Caenorhabditis elegans: one gene and its partner. The protein of the gene in region 2 interacts with the protein of the main gene of each other region in a pairwise test. Each region holds a gene or a part of one and is shown on either strand. Other genes may lie near its edges.

Region 1 (6,357 bases), on a different chromosome or scaffold from region 2:
AAATCATTAAATGATAGTTGGGTTGAAGAAAGAATACAAATCATAAAACTATTTAAAACGTGAGATTCCAAAGATCTCGAATTGTCAAATTTTCTCGTAAGCCTAATTTTTTTCTCGTTAAACTTTACAAATCGATTCACTTTTTGATTACTTCGGTATTTGATTAAACTTGGTCTAATTGAAATACAATTTACAAAATATAAGGGTAAGTCGCCTCATTGCCTCCTGAGCATATGCATTTACCAACTTTTCAGATGGCTCCAGTATTGAAAGGCAGAAAAGCTTCGATAGCTGGATTAAAGAAAGGACGCGCTACCCAAGCAAGAAAGAGAGAAGAAGCGAGGATGAGATCAGTAAGTTAGCCATTCTTAGCATTTATACGATGTTGCCCTAATCAGAATTCCGTTGTTTATCGATGAGGTGATAGATAATGCCCCTGTTTTTAAAACGGGAACTCTTTTCCATTCCCGTTCCCTCAGGAAGAAATGTTCTTACTACCCCTTCCAAGCGGTTGAAAAAATTTTTCAGGTCACGTTACCCTAACTAGAGGTGGAAAAAACACCGTGATTGGTATTTGATTGGTTTTCTTTCAAAAAATTATCGATTCCGACTTCAACGTTTGAAAAATTTTTCTAGGTCGATGAGGACGCCACTTCGCAAGTCACTGCTGCTGCTGCAAATCCGGCTCAAGCCCCGTCTGCTTCGATCTCCGGTAACTTTAACATTTCCCACTGGCTTTTAGGCTTTGGTGAATTTTCAGAAGTTCCGGAAAAAAATGATTGAAAATTTTCACCCAATTTTTGATTTATTTGTGTGAAAAATTTCAATTATTTGTCTTCTTTATTAGTTTGAAAATTTTCGAGAAACTGACAAATTTGAATAGAAACTAGTACAATAATTAAATTCTACTCTTATCCAGGTAACTCTGTGCAAAATACGGTAGCTCAACAGGTCGGAGCTTCAACCAGTGTCGTCTCTGCTCCAATGTCAAGTAATTTTAAAGTTTCCCACTGGATTATAAGCTTTTGTTAATTTTCAGAAGATGACCTCAAGAAGGCTCAGGAAGAGCTCGACAAGCTCAAGTGGGATAATATCCAAATGGAGATGGAGATCGAAAAGTTCAAGAAAGAAAATCTCAAGAAGCAGTTGGAGGTTGAAAAGAAAAAACGAGAGATGCTCGATGAACAACTTGTGCAGCTCGGGCCAATGGACTATTTGTAGAGCTTTTTAGATTTGAATAAATGGTACTTGTGTATTATTTCCCCTCATTTTGAAAAAAACAAGTTTTTTATTAAAAACGTGTGGAGTTTTTGTATTTTTAGGCTTAGGAAATAACCATTTCTAAGCCTAAAAAGGGAAAATGACATCACGCTTTATTAAAATGGATACTATTGAAATGAGGGGAAATAATACACAAGTACCGAATAAAGTCATGTTCTGTACTCTTCTTTTTTTTTAACCACAGTAACCCTACACTTCTACAGTACGCCTATTGAATTATTATCTGTAAGCAGAAAAATGCGCCATTTGAAATCGAGATGCAAGCGCGCTCCAACGCTAAAAGTTGGGTGTGAAAATAACACCTGAACTTGCCGGAAGGACGTTAATTATTCATACTTGTGAGAAAAGACATGTTGAATGAGATCCGATTACAAATTGGTGAGAAACATTGGGTCTCGGAACGATTGTTATGAAAATTGTTTCGTTGAAAAAGAACTGAAGTTCTCTTCAGTGAATCGTGGAAATGCTCAAGTGCTATTCAATTGGAATTGAAGGGCTTGCTCAGTTCATTATTATCATATTATGAGATTTTTGCGCCAAACATACGGTACCTGGTCTCGACACGGCAAACTTTTGTTAACTGCGAGTAGATGTGCGCCTTTAAAGATTACTGTAATTTTAAAATTTCGCTTCTGCGCAATTTTCATTGATTTTTCGTAGTTAACTATAGTTTTATATTTTAAATAAAATGATCGATTTAAAAATTGCGCGGAAGCAAAAGTTTTAAACTACAGTAATCTTTAAAGGTGCACACCTAATCGCATTTAACAAACAATTGTCGTGCCGAGACCTGAAGCCGTATTTTTGGTTCAAAAATTGTGCAATGTTCGACAAATTTCGAATTTCAGCATGTATTGCAACAAAAAAAAGCGTGTAAATTCCCAAAAATTTTGGAAATGGGCTTGCCGTTACTCATTCAAACACGCGTACATTCTTCATTCATTTGTGGCGATGAGGGTTTGATTGAAACGAGAAGAGCCAAAAAAGAAGAGGCTCCCAGAAACCAAAAAGGCGCCTCTCCATGTAGAGCGCTCCACCACTTTTTGATAGATAGCTCGTGTCCGGAGCAGTTGCCTCGTGCCCCGACTGTAATTGCCTGCTCTTTTGGAACTGGAAAGGAATGAAAAATGGCACACAAAGTATTGTGCGCTTGAAGAAGTGTGTTCTAAATAAAATAGTTTTTATTCACACGGTATATTGGGAGCATATGGGAATGTTTTGAATACATGATCGATTTTTGTTAAAAAATAAAATAAAATAGAGATTCTGGTTCAGTGCACAATTCTCGAGTCGACCATCGAAATTGTTGTGTTGCATGTCGTCGTGCTGTGCATCGAAATGGCAGATGTTCTCCCATCTCTGAGTCCTTTTGGAACGAATCTTTTAAAATTCGGAACATTTGAGTCGAATGTTGTCTCGTTCTTTTTGAAACTATTTGGTTGTTGAAAAATCAGATTACAATATTTGATGGTCTCGTTTAACGCGGCCGGTCCTCGATCGGAGAGATCCGAATCATCCGATTCCTCTTCTGGTTCCCGACTGACTGATGGAAGAGCTGCCACCTGGCTCACGATGGATTCCACGTCATCTGGCTCCACGGCGGAAGGGGCTTTCGGTCTGAAAAAACTGGAGAACATTGTATTTGAAATCTATTAATTTAAAAATCTTACTTCTTTATGAGACTTTGAGAAGCTTGAGGAGCTATCTTGGCTTTTTTCGCTGGAGCTTCCTCGTCGAAGACGCCACTTTTATCTGCTTTACGTGCTCTTGGGCCTCTACTTCCACGATTCTCCATTTCATCATCGAAATTCATACGCGGACGATAGGAAATCGGTCCTCTTTTTCCACGTGGCCGATCTATGCTAAACACATCGCCTTCTGGTTTTCGTTTGCCTGGAAAAGAGCATTTAGATTATATTACTAGTAGAATAGTACAGAACTTACGTATGCTACTTGGATTAAACTTGGTAATATTGAATGTGGAGATAGATGAAACATCGTCAAAACTGAAAATAAAATTAAAATTAATGGTTTAAATTATTTTAGCCGGATTACTCGTCGTCGGTCACCTCAACAGCTGGCATTTCTTTGATGCTAGAATTTGAATATCGAGATTCTTCATAAACTGTTTCCGGAACAGTACTGGATTCATCGGGTTGTGGAGAATCTATGACCGTCTCTTCTAGCTCATCGCCGTCAACTTCCAGAGTCATAGAGATTCCACCAATCGCAAGCTGATACACTCCTTCGTGAAGCTCCTGACTAGATTGTTTCAATCGTGTTCCGTTGATTTCGGTTCCTTCTTTACTTTTATCGGTGAAAAATAGACCCTACAAAATTAATTATATTCTACGCTGTTTCACTCAATAATAATACCTCATCGCCCCATTCTATGCTCGCATGAATTCTTGAAACTCGAGCGGCATGAGGATCAAATGTGATGTGACAGACTTTCTTTTCCCGACCGAAGTTGACCACGGAGCCTTTCTCTTTCAACACATAAACCTCTAGAAGGAATTAATACTGTAAACGCAGAGGAAATAAATCTATACCTTCGCCTGAGGAGTTTTTGATTTTTATGCCATTGATGGGCATCTACAAAAAAAAATTTGAAAAGACGTTCTGATTATACCCAGTTCTTAAATATAATATTCTGAAAGTAACAACATGGTTCTTTATAATCACAGGAAAAACCAAAAACGTTTATTTTTGGAATACAACAACAAAGTTAACAGCTTAGAACTGGATGACTTGTCCGCGGGACTTCTTCTGTCCTCCGAGCTCGAAGTGTTTGCATCTGAAATTAAGAAATTATATAAATGTAAGATCATCACATAATGCATTTTTTAATGTTTTTGAATAAAAGTCAAGAATGAACGCTTTTCAGGTGAAATCAGGTGAATTTCAGGTATAATTTTTAAATTGAAAATTCCTAAACAAGCTTTTAAAAAATACGACAAAACACACTTCATTTGAATTAATTTTTAATAAAACAAAATAAAAACGAACCTCTTGATTGGGAGTTGCTTCTTGTGCTTGCACTCGGTGCACTCCATTCTCAAGACGATTTTCTTGGTGGTCTTGGCCTTCTTTCTGAAGATTGGCTTGGTTTGTCCTCCGAATCCAGATTGTTTTCTGTCGTAACGACGACGTCCTAAAAAATAACGTTGAATTTTATGGTATTATTATTATTAATTTAAAACGTACCTTGAGCGAACTTGGATTCCTTTCCCTTCTTGTATTGGGTAACCTTGTGGTTGGTGTGCTTGCGGCACTTGCCGTCACAGAAGGTTCTTCTGGCTTTTGGCACGTTGACCATTTTACCTGGAAATTGTAAAAAAATTACTAGAAAATAGGAGATATAAGTGCAGATTGAATGAAGAGTGTGAGTAATGAAAAAATCAAGAGTTAAACGGCTGTAAAATAAGTTTCACCAACAAAAATTCGGTTTCACCAAAAAATTATTATTTCATCGAATTTTGAAGATAGATTTTCCAGGAACGAGCACAGAATTAATTGCAGATTTTTCTTCAGTCCAATTTATCAAAAAAATTCCGAAATTCTCGGGAAAAAACGTGAAAAAACCGTAGGCCAGCATTAAAATTCACAGGTTGCCTGAAAAGCCATACTGTCCCACTCGTTTGTTGTGTGCCACTTTCGTTGCGAGACGCCAAAAGCGAAAGTGCGTGCGCCTTTAAGTTTAGTAAACGACACTCCGAAATTCCGACCGCTGGAACGTCGGTTTTATTTTATTTTCTATTTTTTGCCTGATTTTTCAACGAATCAACTGATTTTTTAATTGAAAAGCTTGATATATGCAAATAAAATAATACTTTTAAACAGCTTAATAGATATTTTTCAAATTTTCGTAGCATTATTGACTGGAAAGCTATTGTTTGAAATGTTTATTGTGCTTGCAGATTTTCCATCGATCTTTCATTTATCTCAACTATTTTTTTCAGGGATGGCTTCGGCAGCAGTCTCTCTTGGGGCTAGGCTAATTGGACAGAACGGTAGGAGCTTAAATTTCAATTTCAATTGTTTTAAGACTATTCTTTCAGTGCCGAAGGTGGCTGTGCGCGGAGTCGTGACATCAGCCCAGAATGCGAACGCTCAAGTGAAACAAGAGAAGACATCGTTCGGAAATTTGAAGGACAGTGATCGTATCTTCACCAATTTGTATGGTCGCCATGATTATCGATTGAAAGGAGCCATGGCTCGTGTGAGTATTTATTTGCCTATTTTCAAATAATCTATTCGACAATTTAAACGAATTTTATAATTTTTCAGGGAGACTGGCACAAGACGAAGGAAATCATTCTAAAAGGATCTGATTGGATTCTCGGAGAACTCAAAACTTCTGGTCTCCGTGGAAGAGGAGGAGCCGGTTTCCCATCCGGAATGAAGTGGGGATTCATGAACAAACCATTCGATGGACGTCCGAAATATCTCGTTGTTAACGCTGATGAAGGAGAGCCAGGAACTTGTAAAGATCGTGAAATTATGCGTCACGACCCACATAAGCTCATCGAAGGATGCTTGATCGGAGGAGTTGCAATGGGAGCTCGTGCCGCCTATATTTACATCCGTGGAGAGTTCTACAATGAAGCTTGTATTCTTCAAGAGGCCATCAACGAGGCCTACAAGGCCGGATATCTCGGAAAAGACTGCCTCGGAACTGGATACAACTTTGACGTCTTCGTTCATCGTGGAGCTGGAGCCTACATTTGCGGTGAAGAGACTGCTCTTATTGAATCGCTCGAAGGAAAGCAAGGAAAACCACGTCTGAAGCCTCCATTCCCAGCTGACATTGGACTTTTCGGTTGTCCAACAACTGTGACCAATGTTGAAACTGTAGCTGTGGCTCCAACAATTTGTCGTCGTGGTGGTGACTGGTTCGCTTCGTTTGGACGTGAGAGAAATCGCGGAACCAAGGTTAATAAATGTTGAATAATGATTCAAAAGTGGAGCATTCAACGTCAATTTTTAAATTCGATTCTTCACTTCTTTCTTTTAAAATTTCAATTTTTGATTTAAAAAAAAAACCGAAATTTCAGCTTTTCTGCATCTCCGGTC
Region 2 (10,438 bases):
AATATCACGTATTTTGATTTTGAAATTTTTTTATGTGAAATCGTAAAATTTTAATGATTCTTTTGGGTGTTTTTTTTTTTGGAAAAAAAAGATTTTTCCGGCAAACGACACGTACAACAATTGCTGAAATTGAAAATTTCCGGCAAATTCGGCAAACCGGCAAGTTGCCGAACTGCAATTGCCACCCATCCCTGTTGTGGGTGACAATCATTTTCCAAAATTTGAAATTGAAATGTTCAAAAAAAAATTGAGCAACGCAGGTTCTACTCCTACAACAGTAGGTGTATGGAATAAAATACTCAGGCAACTCAAATCTAATATGAAAATATTAAATAGCAATATTTTTGTAGTAAATACGAGAAATAGTGCGTCCATATAATATTACTAAAAATTTCGAATAGATTTCGATTGTCTCAAAATATTACAATTTGATCTCAAAATATTGCGAAATATTCTCAAAAGATTGCTCAATCTAAAAAGATTTCGAATAAGTCTCGGAATATTGCGATTTTATCTTGAAATATCACCCAACTACAAAAATATTGCTATTTAATATTTTCATATAAGATTTGAGTTGCCTGAGTATTATCTAAAACTTTGGGAATATCATTATGAGTGGTGTTGCTCTCGCTCTAACAGGATAAAATATCATATTTCCCAGAGTTTTCAATTGGTGTCAGAGTGTCCCATTTCGGTTTGATCTACGAGAAGCGCTGACGTTACGGTTTTCTGTACAAAAATTTGTAGATCAAACCGTAATGGGACAGCCTGACACCACGTGAGTTTGTCCGGTTATGCCCTGCATTTTGCAAATGTTATGATATTTATAATTTTTATAAATAACATTTTTCAATTGTGGAAGACTGTTAGAGTTTCTTCTGCCAAATGTACCTCCAGAATTTTTTATTTAGATGTGGTTAATGTTCATATCTCTGACCCCATGCCTGCCTGTGTATTAGTTGGAGTGGTCAGGACCAGTGTACATCTATAACGTATGTAGTACCCATTATCTTTTTCCTAATCAATAACCTGTTGGTTCACCAAGTCATTCATTTTCTTATTCATTCTTCTTACAACCATGATGAGAGGTTTTCCAATTTTTCGATTACCGCATAAACCACTACGTTTATTGCTGAAAACTATGGAGGTGCAAGATTTGTGAGTGCATTTTTTTCCCAACTGGAAACATAAATATTCTTATAAGTAGAAACAAGTTTTCAGAGTGAGGATATCGTTTTATTCAAAAACTGCCAAACATGCTGTTGAATCGTTGAATATGAAGCTCATATATTTTTATATAACAATTTCTGGGACAATACAATTTGATATCTTCACTTATAATATGGAAGATCTCAATTTGAAATTGTCTGTGACACAATCTGAAGGAAGGAATTTGATTCGAGTGCACGGTGAAAAAGTAATGACAGGAATCAGTTTGCGGGAGTTTATAGATCAAATTCTTACAATATTCCATCAAGCAACTATTCATAAGCTATTTATTAAGCATATCGACTACGATTATCTAGAAGAATTCAATAATTTGAATATTCAACTTTTACACCTCGCGACTAGGAGCTCACTGAAACATTTTGCAAGACGATTCGATTTTCTAACTTTAGAGCAAATTACTTGGGAAACTCGAGATTTCCAGTCACTTGTGGGCCTCAACTTCAAACATTTAGAAACAAGAAGCACTTTTAAACTAGAAGACTTACTCGTTTCAAATACTTCTCAAATACTTATTCATGAACCATTGCCCCTAACAGATCTATGCATATTTCTAAAACATTGGATCAATGGATCAACTGAACGGCTGGAATTATTCCATATGCGTCTTCCTCAAAATTTTCAGAAGGAAGAATTTATTCAGAATGCCTTAAGTGGTATTAAATACAAAAAACTGGACGTCGACCAAAAACTGGAGTTCGAAGCAGCTGTGGATGTATGGAAGGACTCACACAGAGAGGTGAAAAACGAGGGATTTGGAATCCAAAGGAGCGATGGTACCTACGCAATTATTGTTGTGTGTGATGAGTTTGCAACTAACAAGTATTTGAAGATGTTTGTTTGGAAGCCGATTGATTCAAGTATCGGAGATCTCCTTAAAATTGCATCGTTTTAAATGTTAGTTTTGATTTTTTCTTTGTATTTTTGCGCTAAAATACGGTAAATCTTTTGTTTAATGCGAAGAGGTACGCACCTTTAATGAGTACTGTAATTTTAAACTTATTTTTTGCCGCGTGGTTTCCGTTGCTCGAGCCAAAAAAATGCCGAAGTTATTTATTAGAATTTATTCTTGATTTTAATCGATAAATATATATTATTTACCACAAACCATTTCGACTTTGATCAAAGCTTTGATTTAAATATATTTAATCTTAAATTTCCCGCTGCAAACGCGCTCGCTGACACGGCGCAGAGATAAGAGGGCGCCAGAGAAGTTTTGAGAGAAATCATTTTTTTGAATTTTATTTTCAATGTTTCCTGAATTTCAGCTCAATTAAAGCGGAAAATGTTTATTTTTGCAGAGTATCTACGTGGTCACAAGAGGAAACTTGTACAAAATTAATTTAAATGTTAAACATCTATTTTAAAATGATTTATTATTTATTTTTCTGTTGAATAAATTGAATAAACTTAAATCTTGAATTTAAATCGTGAAATTTAAATCGTTTTGTAATTCTGGTTGCCAATTTACCAGTTCATTTCTATTTTATTAACAATTTCCGCACAGATCATCAGTTTCCCTTCCAGGAATCCCAAAAAATGGACAGATATTACGGTAGCCACGTGGCAAATTCAAGTTTTGACTCATTTATGCAATCTGTGGATCCATTTGAGCCAACACCGAAACGAAGATCCACTGGAGAGGTAATTATGCGAAAAAATCCGGAAAAGCTCGAACTTCAGAGGTTTTTCCAGCTTTTCAAGGAGAATTCTTGAGAAATTGGAAAAAACATAGAAAAACTGGCAGAGTTTGCTCAAATTTTTGTATATAAATGACTGCCTTTGTCAATTTTTGCAGAATATTGTTGAAAATCGAACAATTTCATCAAAACATTGCTGAAAATACAGAAAACCTGAAAATTTCAATGTTTTTCGAGTTTTATGCAGAAAAATGCGATAATTTTCGCCTGAAACTCGTTTTTTTTCAAAAAATCTTTTAGAAAATTGAAGTTTTGAGTATGCTAAAACAATAAATCAATTTTTCCAAAAATTTGCGCGTCAAATATGGTGTATTAAGTACGCAATTAGAAGTTGTGCAAACACCACTAATATTACACCATATTTTACGCGCAAATGTGAATATTTTGTCTTAAAATTGCAGTTTTTGAAAAAAAAAAAGGTTTTTTTTTCAATTTTCTCAAAATTTCAGTCGGACAGCATCGCCCGAGCCATCAGAAATGCTTTGGATCCCGAGCTACAGTACCCCCAGCCATCAATCGATATTTTTGGACCGTCTACATCAAATTTTGGAAATTATGAAGAAAATGATGAATCAATTCTGGCAATAGTATCCTCAACACATTCTTCACAAGAATTGAGCACAACAACGGATAGGGAAAAACCGCCGAAAAAAGTGAAAAAAGAGAAGAAAATTGGAGAAAAATTCCCGATTTTCAACTCCAAACCGGCGCATCAGCCGATTATGGATGATTTTTTATCACCTGATGATATCGAGGTGATTAATGGGATTTTTTCTATAAAATCCCGGAATTTAAGATAAAAATCTAGAAAAAAAGTTTTCCATTGAAAATTAGAGTTTTGACTTATAAAAAAATCGCGACGAGACCCATTTGAACAAAATGCGTGCGCCTTTAAATTTAAACTCTGATTTTGAAAATTCATTAAAATTTGAATTTTAAAAATTTTTCGGAAAAAATTGCATCAAACTTTTGATATTCATTCATTTTTTCTTAAAATTGGTTGAAAAAACTCAAAAAATTCTTAATTTTTCAAATTTTCAAGTTTTCTGATTTAAAATTTTTCTTTACGTTAAAAAAATTAAAATAAACTATAAAAAATGCTTCAAATTCTTTGAAAAAAAAAATCAAAAAAAAGACCGATTTTTCTTGAAAAATCCAATTCCTAAAAACCTTCTTGCTACAAATTCTGCAAAAATTCAAAACTCACAGAATTTACAGAGAAAATAAAAGCTCAAAAAATTCGTATTTTTAGCAGAAATTCAAAGTTCTAAACAATTTTGCGCGTCAATAAAATTGGATTTGAAAAAAATTAACCTGAAACTTGTAAAAAAATTATTTAAAAAAAATTTTTTAAAAAATCGCTCAATTTTAATATTTTTTGTTGAAACAATATGGCTAAAATTTCTAATATTTAGAGCAAATTATCAAAACGGTCCAAATCTCATAAAAAGTTTCTGAAAAATTCCAAATTTTCTGTATTTCCAGCGCTACCGTAACCGTCCCCGGAAACCATACGTAAAACAAATTCGAATGGACGATTATCTATTCAAAGCCCGTCGAATTGATAAAGGATCACGAGAATTTGGATTACACACAACACACGAACCAAAACGTGGAAGCAAGAAAAAACGGGATTCGATTGAAAGTCTTGAAGTTGAAAATATTCAGAAACCATCGAAAAAGCACAATGAGCAACATCAAAAGAAGCCTGAGCAACTCGATTTCACACTGGCATTCACTACGCCGAGTCCGGCAAGAAATCGCCAAAAAACTTCGAAATTGACAAAGTTTTTCGAGAAAAATCCATCGAAAACTTCTAATCGAGGTGAATATTTATTTTCAATTGTTTTTTTGAAAATTAAAAATTCAAAAAAAATTATTTAAAAAAATCTGGAAATTATTGGAAATAATTTTTAGTTTTTTTCGAACATAAAAAAAACGTGTTTTTTGCTTAAATTAATTTAAAAAAAGATTCTCTAGAAAAGATTTCCGCTTTTTTTGAGATTTTCGAGAAATATCGAATATTTGAAAAAATTTCATTGAAATATACGGAAATGAGCTGGAAATTTAAAATTTTCTTTTTTTTTTTAAACGAAAATTCGAAAAAATAATTCCATTTATCAGAGAGTCGGTTCTTTAAAAAAATTTTTAAAAACAGAAAATTTTAAAATCGAGAAGCAAATATTTCCCATATATATGGGAATCGAAACAGTAAAAAATATTTTCTAGATCGTTAAAATTTCAAAAATTTCCGTTTTTTCAGAGATTTTTAAAGAAAATCGAATATATGAAAAATTTCATTAAAGAAATAGAGAAATGAGCTGAAATTTTGGGATTTTTCGATTTTTTTTAATTAAAAAAAAATCAGAAAATCGAGAAAAAATTTCTTGATTTTTTTAAAGATTTTCAACAGCAAAATAAATTAAAAAATTAAAAAAAAATTATTTCCAGATTCGAAAATTGAAAACCGTTCGAATTCTTCATCTATCATGTACAATGATCCATCTGCCTACTCAAATGATAGTATTTTGGATGATACAATTATCTCCTCAACACCTCCTGATAAATCATCATTTCTCGCTGAAACTATGCCACTAGCGACACCAAGTCCCAAGAATTTGACACCAAAAAGAGCTCTTCCGACTTCTAGTGCTCGATCGATATTCGGACACGTTGTGCTGCCGAATCCGATGAAACGAAAGGATTTAGGTGTTCTGGCAGCAGTGGAGAAGGTTGGAAATTTCTGAAAATCTGGAATTGGAGAATAATTGTGGTCTCGCAGCGAAGATTCTAAAAATAGATAAAATCAAAATTTTCTAAAATTAAAAAATGCGGAATTTTTTTAAATTGCATTTTTGAACCCAAATTTTTTCGAAACGTTTTGTTCATAAAAAAGTTTGTAAAAATTCAAAAAAAATTTAAAATTTAGAAAAAAATGCAGAAATTGCCCAAAAGCTAAAGAACAATGCAATTTTTTTAATGTGAAAAATAAACACAATATTGAAAAAAATAAATATTTGAAAATAATTCAGAATTAAAAAAAATCAAGCAACTGTTCAATTTTTTAAGGTAAAAAAAAAATTCAAAATCAAAAATATTGTAAATCTATAAAGATTCACGAAACTTTTTTATTTAAAAAAATTCTGAAAAACTCTTAAAAAATTATTTTAAAATTCCTATTTTTTTAAAATTTCAGAAAAATTACAAATATGTATTTTTTAAAATTTTTTATTTTCTATTTGGAAAGATATAAATTCAGAAATATTTAGACCTTTATACTGAATTTTTGTCAAAAATTGAAAAAATCAATTAAATCCCAATTCCAAATAAATTTAATATCAAAACACTTAAAAAAATTTTTTAAAAAGGTAAATCTGTAAAGATTTGGAAACCTTTTCATTGGGAAAATTCTGAAAAACTCAAAACTTTCTTTTGGAGTACAAATTTGAAAATAAATTCAGAAAAATTACAAAAATGTAATTTTTAATTTTTTTTTCCAATTCAAAAAGTTAAAAAAAAAAAGAAAGAATCGAATTTTTAGATCAAAATTTTTTTTTATTGTGAAGAAAAATAAATTCCAAAAAAATACTGAATTTTTGTCAAAAACAAATTCAAAAAATTAATTAAATTTTTATTTCAAAATGAGCAATATGAGAAAAAATTGTGCACTCAAAAATTTAAAACTTAAATTCGATTTTTTTCAGGACCGCCAGCCATTGAAACAAGCGAAACGTCAAAAGACGACTGGCTCAAGTAAAAAGGTAAAACTTCTCCCATAAATTGGCTTTTCGCTACGTGGCCGCGAAAAAACTCGGTCACAGGCACATTTTTCCTCAAAAATTTCTGAAATTTCTGAAATTTTCAGCCAGAATTCGACTATCCATCGTCGCCAATCACACTTCACGATGAGCAGGAGGAGCAGGATCTGAAATTGAGAACACCCGAGCGAAAGACTCTGCAAAACGAAGAGGCGCAGAGAAAACAATTCGGACGCCACATGTCAGAACGTGAACAACTCATGAAACAACTGGTAGATCAAAAGTTTCGAGAAGAGCGAGAGAATGGAGATTTAGAGAGTCGAAGGGCTCAATTGAAGGATGGACAAGTGATTCGGAATAAGGAAATGAGGAAGAATTTGATGCACGGAGCCGCGTGCAAGTGTTGTAGAGCTTATTATGATGGTCTCGAGATGGATGAAAAGGAGAAGGAACAGTATATTAATCAGGTGCATATTATAAGACTGCCCTGGAATTTTCAAGAAATTTGGAGTGAAATTTTCGGAAATTCAGTCAAAACTCTATATAACCAAATTTTTTCAAGGTTTTTAAAAAATCGAATATTTCAATTTGGGTTTTCCAATTTTTATATTTTTATTTTCCAGTTAGCTCCAAAAAAAAAAAGATTTCTTGAAAAAAATTTCAATAAAAAAGTTTTAACGAAACTGAGGTTTCACGTGGTGTCAGAGTGTCTCATATCGGTTTGATCTACGTTGATCTACAAAAAATGCAGGAGTTGAGACGCAGACTTCTCAACTTATTTCGCATGATTAAGAACGTGCTGACGTCACATTTTTTGGCCGAAAAATTCCCGCATCTTGTAGATCAAACCGTGATGGGATAGGCTGACACTACGTGAGGTTTTTAAAATTCAATTTTGCAATTGTCATATTTTCCAGCTTGTTCAAAAAATATTCAAAAAGTGAAAAAGTGATGCGAGGTTTTTTTTTTGGTTTTTAATAAACCCAGTTTATTAAAAAAATCTTATTTTTCTATTTTCGGGTTTTCAATTTTCCTTTTTTCATACTTTTCGAAATCTTAATTTTCTTTCTATTCGGGTTTTTTTTTAGAAAAAAAACATATTTTTCGGTTTTTTCAACTTTTAGATTTTCTGGAAAAAAATTCGACAAAAAGTTTGAATAGAAATTAGAGACAATTCTCCTCGTGGAGTACACACGAGCTGCGTAAATCGACAAAACACCGTCATTTCAAAAAGTGAAATTCTGAGCGCCACCAAAAATCCCCTTTTTTCTTTTTTGCAAAAACCCCGAAAATGTTAAAATTTTTCCAGATCAGTCGCCACCGCTACGTGCACCAACCACTTCCAGACACTCCAGAACGGTATTGGGATTTGACAATGGGACCACGAGATGAGGACAGCGGAAATCATGTACAAATGACACAGAGCCGACGATGGGAAGATATAGCAGAGAAAATGGAATGGCCGACTGGAATCAATACGTGGAATTAATTGAAACATATCACTTCTTATTTTATTTATTTTCATATGAATATGTGTATTTATTGATTTTTTAGCCAAAAAACCTCTGTGGCCTAGTTTTACAAATCCTAGGGCACATTCTCAAAATTAGCGAATATTTCAAAAAGAACGATTTCTCTGGAAAATCGCACAGTTGGTGTGCGCAATTTTCACAATTTCCTCGTGGCCGAGCTTTGAAATCTTAGGTCATGATTCATGATATTCTCCACTAGAACTCACAAACACATATTACTGGAACTGAGAATGCGTATTACACAACGTATTTGACGCGCAAAATATCTCGTAGCGAAAACTACAGTAATTCCTTTAATGACTACTGTAATGTCGATTTACGGGCTCAGCGATATTCAATTTTCTTTAGTTTTTTTTCAAATTGTTATTTTTCACCGATATATAAATTATTTCCGTAAATCAACACAACCGCTACAGTACACGTTTAAAGAAGTACTGTAGTTTTCGCTACGAGATATTTTGCGCGTTGATTGTAAAATCGAAACAAAAGAATAATAATAATTGCTCTGAAATTAGATTACTCCTGCTCAATTTCGTTGCTACATATTTTTATGGCTCTTTTTCTCTGGCTACTCCCCTCCTTCAGTCATAATTCCATGCTTTGTCGGCTCGACACGGCTCATTTTCACCAATTTTCTCGCTGAAATTTGAGTTTTTAGATTTTTATTCATGTTTTAGTTTTCAATTTTGAATTTGAATTCCAAAGCCACGCACATTTTTTTTGCAATTTTTTAGAGTTAAAATAGACATCTCGCAGAAAATTTGAATTACCCGCCAAAATTTGTTCACAAAAAATTTGAAATTCTGTTTTTTTTTTCAGAATGACCGGCGGAAATGAGCAGCGGGCCGGAACCGCCAAAGGACGACGTGGAGCACAAGACTGTGAGCACTTTTTCCATTTTTTTTTAACCCAAAGACCTTGAAATGACTTAAAAAATAACGAAAAAACAAAAATAATCACCTGGTATTTGCTAAAAATAGTTAAAAGTGTTCCTATTTTTGGAAAATCTGTCTGAAAAAATATGTTTTTTTTCTTCTTTTTTGAAACATTTTTAAACATTGGCAACGACACTCCAACATCCCGCAGCTGGCCGTTGCTGAAAAATTTCTAGGCCTCGAGTGACGTCACTACTGATCAGTCTCAGGCCACGTGAATTTCTAGGCCACCGATAGCGTCATTTCTTTTCCAATTGCGAGCACACCCAGGACAAATTTGAAATTCTCTTCCATTTGCGTTTACAAAGTTTTCTAGGCCATCGGTGACGTCATTACTCTTCCAATAACGGTTCTTCTGCTTTCTAGGCCACAAGTGACGTCATGGCATTGCCTATGCCATTTTCACTCTTCCATTAGAAGCTGTGGAGGTTTTTAGGCCATCTATGACGTCATATATATATATTTTTTTTTCCATTTTTCACAAATCCCAGTTACTTTTCACAAGCCGGATCGTCATTTACAAAACGAAATAAAAAAGAGGAAATCATGTTATTCATGTTTTTAGTTCCTCTTCATCACATGCACACTCGCTTCTCTTCCTCCCTCTATTTAGTATGTGCCACGTCTCTTTTAAGCCCCCGACAGCTACCCCTCCATTTTTTCCCTCTCGTTCCTCTTGACATTTTGCTTTTCGTTTCCGCTTTTTCTTTTTTGTCTCCTTTTTCTCGTGTCTTATGTTCTTGGAAGGAAGAAGAGAGAAGCTTTATAATCACCATGGTAACGGGGGTGCTCCGCGAGCTCCAAGAACAACGCAATTAGTGGAAATGAGAACAAGAGAAGGGGGCTTAGAAGCATCCTGAAATGTGTGTGGAAGAGGAATGACTTCATAAGTAATGCTGGCCTAGAAACCTTCAAAACCTCCCGTGAACGAGAGATGACGCCATGAATATCAGTGCTCGGAAACCTCACTTTCAGTGACCTAAGATTCTGCACGGCCACCATAATGACGTCACTAGAAGCCTATAAAATGCAAGTGGCCTAGAAACCGTCCAGGGTACGGCCAACAAAAAGTGGCTAAAAAGATTAATAGCATCATATTTAATAGATGCTATTTATATGATGACTGGCAACAAAAGAATGCCAATTTTCTCTCCAAAAGTAGCTCCAAAGTTCGGTGGCCTAGAAATCCATCTACGGCCGCCTACATGACGTCACTCATAGCCTAGAAACCACGGGCGACCAACAATTTTCGAAAAAATTGTGAGAAAAAAGTCGAAAATTCTCCG

What was found.
Region 1: the proteins of com-1 (region 2) and nbs-1 interact in a two-hybrid assay, tested with the Caenorhabditis elegans proteins (one study listed by BioGRID).

Annotation. Positions count from the first base shown.
Region 1 is NC_003280.10:11,092,600-11,098,956, forward strand, and holds nbs-1 (FHA domain-containing protein), read right to left. Parts: upstream 3,877-6,357; coding exon 3,834-3,876; intron 3,789-3,833; coding exon 3,658-3,788; intron 3,612-3,657; coding exon 3,337-3,611; intron 3,288-3,336; coding exon 3,226-3,287; intron 3,175-3,225; coding exon 2,952-3,174; intron 2,908-2,951; coding exon 2,553-2,907; 3' UTR 2,449-2,552; downstream 1-2,448. Other genes in the region: rpl-42 (NAM-associated domain-containing protein), read left to right, coding at 255-353, 637-712, 920-991, 1,040-1,221; rpl-36A (Large ribosomal subunit protein eL42), read right to left, coding at 4,018-4,078, 4,291-4,435, 4,489-4,600; nuo-1 (NADH dehydrogenase [ubiquinone] flavoprotein 1, mitochondrial), read left to right, coding at 5,246-5,294, 5,343-5,503, 5,572-6,216, 6,339-6,357.
Region 2 is NC_003281.10:10,893,611-10,904,048, forward strand, and holds com-1 (DNA endonuclease activator Ctp1 C-terminal domain-containing protein), read left to right. Parts: upstream 1-2,752; 5' UTR 2,753-2,817; coding exon 2,818-2,871; intron 2,872-3,376; coding exon 3,377-3,682; intron 3,683-4,412; coding exon 4,413-4,752; intron 4,753-5,378; coding exon 5,379-5,659; intron 5,660-6,631; coding exon 6,632-6,688; intron 6,689-6,792; coding exon 6,793-7,152; intron 7,153-7,994; coding exon 7,995-8,174; 3' UTR 8,175-8,226; downstream 8,227-10,438. Other genes in the region: fbxb-87 (F-box domain-containing protein), read left to right, coding at 1,079-1,158, 1,222-2,122; Protein unc-119, read left to right, coding at 9,038-9,098.